Danio rerio: one gene and its partner. The protein of the gene in region 1 binds, or shares a complex with, the protein of each later gene. Links are inferred from orthologs where the notes say so. Each region holds a gene or a part of one and is shown in the gene's direction. Other genes may lie near its edges.

Region 1 (3,761 bases):
CTTTTATTCATTTTTTATTATATTATATTATATTATATTATATTATATTATATTATATTATATTATATTATGTTTTATTTTATATTTTTTATTTAATTAAATTTTTATTTTATTTCATTTATTTGTTTTATTAAAATTGTATTTTATTTAGTTTTATTCTATTCTATTCTATTTTCTATTTAATTTGATTTTCATTTATTTTTATTTAATAATATATATGTATATAAATATATATATAAATAAATAAATATATATATATATATATATATATATATATATATATATATATATATATATATATATATATATATATATATATATATATATATATATATATATATATATAATTAGTCTTTTTAAGCTTCATATGTTTTTTTTATCAGTCTGTTTTTTCTCTGTAGTTTGTGATGCATCTAAATGATTGTACTTTAAAATAGAGACAGGAAATTAATCAAGAACAAAGTTTTGCTTCAGCAATACTCTGAATAAATAGCTATGTAAATAAATCCATAACAAAGCTTTCCATCTCAATCTTCCCAATCCTTCCTTTTCTGAATTGATGGTACTTTAATAATTCAGGCAAGATATATATTGAGATAAAACAGGTTAAACATTTCCAAACACTGCAAATGTCAATAGAGAGTTAAACTTTTGTCTCCTTGAGAATGGATTTACTGCTGGAACAAAAGGATGGGCAACAAAATCAGCAAGCCAAAAAGTTGAGGCTGAAGGAAAGGGTCTAGACAAAGCTGTGTGTTTGTGTGTGATGGCCAAAAAACCCAGTATGTGTGTGTGTGTTTCTCAGGTCTACAGAGAGGTTCACTAAACATTCCTCACAGGCAGGGGGAGGAAGAGTGTAAGGCTCATTAACATAAGAACAGAGTCCTCGGCCAATCGGCAGCAGGGAAAGGGAATGTCAGGATTGAGAAGGAACTGGGAGGGTGTCAGGTTTCCCTGTGCATTCTTCCCTCCTCCTTTTGCCGGAGAGGGTGGGAGAGAACGAGCGCAGGAAGGACGCAGTGAGAGAATCAGCGACTTCAAGAGACAGAAGTATATGGGACAGTCTCGTTCTTGCCCTCTGACATCACGGAATTGGAGTATGTGTTAGAAGCTGACTTTCTGGGAGACGCGGAGAGGTCTGACAAAAGAGTGGACGGTCCGAGTGGGATTTCTTCGGGGGTCAAATCTCAGGCAGTTTAGTGCTGTCTGGAGTCCCAGAGACTCGCACGGCAGGGCTGAAAATGAATTATCTGGTGAGTGTGCTTGCTGTTCTCATTGTTGTGTGAGCACTTTAAGTTGGTTATGCGAAATGCCCTCGGGTGATACTTTCTGAATCAATGTCTTTGTGGACAGCAGAAAAACAAGAGAGTCTTCAAGATTGGCTTTTATCAAGTTTTCTGTCTTATTAGCATTATATGATTTGTTTTTATGGCAGCAGGAGATCAAGTAGCTTGAAAAGCTCTAAAAGAGGCAGTGTAACACTTTTTTGAGAGGCTAGCAGTATATATTTGAAAATGAGTATATATTTCTATTCTTGAAAAGAAAATATTGAGCTTTTTCTTGAGTTTTGAAAGCTGTGAGAAAGCAGGCATAACAGGAGGACGAGTGGACGGAAAAGGAACCCTGCCACTGTTAGCTTCTTCTTTGCTGACTCAGGAGAACGCTGGAAGATTAAGGTTTTTATGGAAAGAAGTATGGAGAAATTTTAGGGAGAAAAGAACAGCGTGACGTGACGGCCGGACCAGTGAAGCATCCATTCCTTGCCATTGTTTGAAATTGCTGGCTCTTGTTCAGCTTGTAAGAGTTGAGAATGACACAGTGCTTAGGTATTTGGACGTGAGAGTTGGGCTGTGCTGTGTTTCCGTATGAGAGGAATCTGGTTCTGGGATTCACCCCCTGCAGAGGCCGGGATATTCCCTGGTCATTAAAATAGACCTTGAAATGGTTATGGGCAGTTATTAATGCAGTTCAGACAGATGATTCTTGGAGATGAGAATTTAGGATTTTCTAGTTAATTTTATTTTTGAAGGCATTTATTATTTTTAATTTGTCTACATATATTGGAAATCTGTCAGTTTAGTCGCTTATTCCATCTGGTGTTAACACGCTTTTAAATGTGTCTTATAAGCAAGTTTGTTATGGTACACTAAAGCTAAGTATGACACTTTGAATTGGTTCACTTTTTTAAATGCATCCTATAATGATTACGTGATATGATATGTAGGTAGTAGCAATAAATGGATGGAAAACCCAAACATTAAAATTTACTCAATATTTACTGACCCTCAAGTGAAACTTTATAATTTTCTCTTTTTTACTTTTTAACATAAATGTGAATATTTTTAATAAATACTTGAAACCCCTATCCATTACTATCCATGGTAGAAAATCAATTGCTATCGATTTCCAACATTCTTCAAAATATTTTTTGTTCAACATAAGAAAGAAATGTATGATTTTTATTGTATGTATATATATATATATATAAATATATATATATATATATATATATATATATATATATATATATATATATATATATATATATATATATATATATGTATATAGAAAATCTGTGAATTGTAGTCCGTTTTCCACCTAAATGTCTCTATGTTACAACACTTACAAATCAGCATGTTATGCTGTTAATGTTAATAAAGCAAAGTATGACAATTTGTATTTGTTTGCTCTTTTACAATGCGTCCCATAATGATCACAGGATAGGCTGGTAGTAGTATTAAAGTGATGGTTAACCCAAATATCTACATTTTCTTAATATTTACTGACCCCTCAAGTGCTCTCAAGTATTTTCAAAACATTACCATTTTCTCTTTTTTTTTTTTTTTTTTTTTTTTTTTTACTTTTGAACATAAATAAGGATATATAAAAAATACTTGACATCTACATTAATATCTACAGTGGAAAATAAATTGTTACTGGTTTCCAACATTCTTTAAAATATGTTATTTTGTGTTTGATGTAAGAAAGACACTCATAAAGGTTTGGATCAAGTGGAGAATGAGTAAATAATAATAGAATTGTCATTTTTGACTGAACTGTCCCTTTAAACTGGTTTATACTGGTTTATACTGGTTTCTCCTGAGGTGGTCCATGATGAAGATGAAAATGGGTGATACGTACTATTGTGAGTGCATAGACTGTTGACTTATTGAGATCATTCTTTAGGTAACCAGGCTGAATCAGTTACTAAGTTAAGAATGTTGAGTCATGTTTTGTTAGGGATCTTTAAATAAGAGAAAGACTCCTTCTTCAGAGGACAGTTGAGTAACCTGAGTCCATCTCTCCCCGTGCATCGCCTCTCTGACTCAAACCCTGACTCACCCTGCAGCTCCTCAGTTTAGGAGAGAGGAATTCCCCACCACTGGCCTGAATCCCACACACTGTCCTGGGGGTCTGACGTACAGGACCAGCTCCTCATCCTCATTATCCTCATACTCGCATGCATACAATCAGCATCAAGTTGTGTAGAAGTAGCGCTGATCTAGTCCAAATTCAGCTCATTTGGTAACATCATGTATAGTTGACTAAAAATAATCTAAGCGCTACAGGAAAACATTTACAGAAGTTTACCTAGAACTAAAAAGGTTGGCAGGTGTGATCAATACTAGAATGTTTTTAGATTAATACTTAACAGAGGAGTGTGCTGATTTATCTAAAGCCATGTTTCCACTAGATAACAACATAGACAGAGAAGCATCTATTGTGACCATGTGTGTTCAGATTTTGAGTCTTTACATTAA
Region 2 (3,661 bases), on another chromosome or scaffold:
TGGCTGTGAGACGTAGTTTGGACGAAGTTGTCGGCGATTCTCCCTATAGTAAAGTCATGCAATGTGAATGTCCATGTCGCCGAACCATCTTGCAGTGTAAACAAAGCAGCGACGAAACGATAGCCCAGATAGTCATGCAGTGTGAAAACATCTGTGACACGACTAGTTTGAAAATCATGCAGTCTGAACTCGGCATAAGTCTTGTAAACTGTATAGTGAACATTATGACACGGTTTCCCTTGCCTTGTCCTGCCATGTTTTAGACCCTTCTTTTGTTTGTTTATTCCTGTCTGCTGCCAGCCTTTTGGCCATTTGCTTCTTTATTTGACTTCGACTCTGGATTGCCTGTGTACATCTGTTTGCCCCTGTGTTGACCTTTGCTAGCCTGACCATCCTGCTAATAAAACCTACGTTTGGATCCGCACACCCTGCTGTCAGTCTTACTTCACATTACAGAAGTAATAGGGTGGAAAAAATAATAAGCTTGTGCTCCATCCTGCTCCATTTCGACCATGTTGAAATGTATTTTTGTTAAAGAGTTTTTCTGTATGATTTTTCTGTTCGAATTAAATAATCAAATCACTATAAACACTGCTACATATAACCCGGGAAAAATCTGAAAAAACTCAACAGTTTGGTTAAAAACATTATAAAAAATGTAACTCAGTGGGTTGATTTACATTTCAACATAGTCGAAATGGAGTGGGATGAAGCACAAGTGTATTATTTTCCCCATCCCATTACCACACACATCATTCGTCTATTACTTCAACTATTTCTTCTTTTACTTATTTTTTCTTTTTACATGAGACATATGAGCTTTACATGAGAAATATTTTTTCCTTTTGGCATCTTTGACATATTACATGTTTCATTCCATTTGTAAGTTTACGTTTTATTACATAAACCTAAAAAAATTGCATAGTATTGCAAACAGCCATTAATTGAAATTTAATGATACCTTTTTCATTTTATAATTTCCCCTCTATTAATTAAAATATTACTTTAATAATATATATTTATAAAACTTTTTTAATTGATTAACTTCCTGACATTGTTTAAGAATCTGTTCCAGACTGTGCCATAATTTCACACCACATACAAACATACACAATTTTTTTAAAGTTGTTCTTATTTTAAACCTTCTTAAAAAAAGATTTTGTTCTCTCAGATTATATACCCTTGTCTTTCTTCAAAAATCTTTTGCATGCATATTAGAAGTAATTGATTCCTAGCTTTAAACATAAATTGTGCTGTTTTTAATTAAATTTATTTTGAGTTTGATTTGAATTTATTGACAGCCATGTATTAACATGTCTCCGTAGTAACACGTATAATCATATCAGCAGGACAGGACGTGTGCAATTTAACTGGAATTAAAAGATCTGTTCAGCTCGCTGTGATCATTGTGATCAAATGTGATCAATAATAAATTTTACAATTTTAAAACGTTTTTAAAACAGTGCATTAGATATATTATGAAAATAAAGAAATAAAGTCAGTTAAAGACCACACCACAGCAGCATGTCAGTACAATTATAAAAAAGACAATTCAGTCCCAATTGTGTGTGACATAGTGTGTGACTCATTGTTGCAGAAAGGCTTGAATTAACTCCAAAACAAATCCATCAAATAATCCATGAGAAAGTTCTTACTGTAGTATTTTTTCGCAAACGTTACGTGAGATCTGCCGCTTTCATGTCTGTCACTGTGCTGTTTATTGTAGGTTTTTGGAGCTTTACAGAAACATTCTGGAGACACCAGAGACTTATCTTAAATCTTAAAAAAGGGTAAAATAGGTGCCCTTTAAGATTTATTAATTTGCAACTGCAAAATACAGTATAGCCTCACATCATGTTTCTTCCTTTAATTATACGTCTACATGGCTGTGTTTCTTTACCCCATCTCCAAAAATACACAAGAACTACATCAATATTAATAATTCAATATGTTTTTTATTTCAGTCTGTCCAATGTCTGAATAAACTCAGTCTGGACAAGACCGCTGAACTAGGCAAGAAAACAAAACCAAAATGGGGTTAAACAGTGATAGTTCTCTGTGAGCTATAATTATTAAGATAAATGAACATAAGTTCCAACAGTGATAAAGAAAACATGTATATGAAAAAAGCTTTTTTTAAGATAAAGCTTTATTTTAAGTATCGCCTTCCTGTTTTCACAGAGTCTTAATTTCCTCCCCTGTTCATCATAATCACTGCTCTTGCATCATGCTATCATTTTAATCAGTAGGAAATATTCTGGCTTCATTTATGAGAAACCGACTTGTTCATATGGTTGTTTTAGAGACTAAAGGGGCCGATGAAGTTTTCCCACAGACAAGGTCAGGGCTTGTATGTTTACTTATGAGCCTGCATATTTTGTTCTCACATTAAAGGAACTCTTGGAATGACAGGGTGCACAGCGGACGTTGCAATCTCTCCTTTTTCACCACAGAACGCTTTATGAAACTCAAATCTGTTTTAACATGCGCAAAATGTTTTCTCCTTTCTTAGGCTTCAAGTGGTTTGGTAGCCTCACCAACCTCCGGCGGAAATCAGATGCGCAGAAAGATGACGAATCAGTCAAAGAAATGTCCACTGACGACATGGGCATGCATCCACGCAGCCCAAGCTATGCCACCTCCAGTGAAATGTACACACACATGGGCACCATGCCACGCCATTCGAAGAAGGACAAAAACTCGAAGAAGAGCAAGTCCAAAGACAAGGCCAACCTCACTCGGAGCCAAAGCTTGAGACCAGACCATGTGGTTGAATCTCCTCTCCTTAGTATGCTTTCTGGAAAGGGGATGGAGGTTCTGGAAAACCCCATTATTGAAGACAAGACGGCTCACATCCAGAATCGAGACCTTCCACCTCCTCCATGTGTGGATGGACACTCAACAAGGCTGGAAGATGAAAATAAGAAGCTTGAAGTAAACTTCAAACATGTTGATGCATCGAATGCATGTCTGGGAGCTTCAATAGAACTATGCGTGAGCCAAGAGTCAACGGTCCAGCCAGTGTTGCCCAAGAAGAGACTTAAAGAAGGAGACAAACTGATGAAGGACACTGAGGAGCTCAAGCAGGACAGTAACTTGATCCAGTTGCCTCAGAAGACTGGCAACCGGATGGAGAAGAAGATAGCAGTAGAAGAAGATGCTAATATAGTGTGGAACTATAAACTTGACGGCCAAGAAGAGAAGGAGTTAAACAGGTAAGAATTCGCTAAGTTCATTGATTCTTAATTTGAACTTTTAGCTACCTATTACTGTATGTACTGCTATGGCAAGCCGTTTTACATTTCTTTCTGATTGCTTAAGCACAATTTTGAAATTAAGACTCATTTTGTCAAAACACTACACACAATTTACACATGACTAATATTGACATAAACATGATTAACACCAGCATTTGTTTTAGATGTTTTCAATTATCTTGTAGTTTATGTCCAGCCTTAGTGATGACATGAGACATTAAACGTCAACAATAATCATGCGAGATAATCATCTTGGTGCAAAAGGCTTTAGTGTCATGCTTATTTAGGTCTATCAATGATAATCTGCCAAGGTACCAGCACAAAAACATCAAAACATTGTGTAATTATTATATGTACACATCATCCTAATATCGAATACAATCACATGATGATATTATTATCCT

The links.
Region 2: the proteins of bcar1 (region 1) and sh2d3ca are in contact, whole or in part, in a crystal structure (PDB 3T6G), measured with the Homo sapiens proteins. The link is inferred for Danio rerio from reciprocal best matches to the Homo sapiens genes BCAR1 and SH2D3C. Residues at the interface, in NP_055382.2 of Homo sapiens: Ser739, Gln742, Phe746, Tyr747, Gln750, Asn754, Val779, Ser782, Lys783, Ile786, Leu787, His790, Val793, Phe794, Ile795, Asp797, Thr798, Arg801, Gln802, Ser816, Asn817, Cys820, Leu823, Arg824, Val827, Lys831; in NP_733745.1 of Homo sapiens: Thr543, Val544, Pro545, Val547, Gly616, Val617, Arg618, Glu622, Thr625, Leu626, Pro627, His628, Leu749, Leu752, Leu753, His771, Gly772, Val773, Glu774, Val776, Leu777, Leu780, Glu781, Ala783, Arg784, Ala787, His788.

What each region holds. Positions count from the first base shown.
Region 1 is NC_133193.1:23,996,981-24,000,741, forward strand, and holds the start of bcar1 (breast cancer anti-estrogen resistance protein 1), read left to right. Parts: upstream 1-1,016; 5' UTR 1,017-1,241; coding exon 1,242-1,253; intron 1,254-3,761. UniProt on the Homo sapiens protein: Docking protein which plays a central coordinating role for tyrosine kinase-based signaling related to cell adhesion. Implicated in induction of cell migration and cell branching. Involved in the BCAR3-mediated inhibition of TGFB signaling.
Region 2 is NC_133185.1:10,826,270-10,829,930, forward strand, and holds part of sh2d3ca (SH2 domain-containing protein 3C), read left to right. Parts: intron 1-2,512; coding exon 2,513-3,215; intron 3,216-3,661. UniProt on the Homo sapiens protein: Acts as an adapter protein that mediates cell signaling pathways involved in cellular functions such as cell adhesion and migration, tissue organization, and the regulation of the immune response.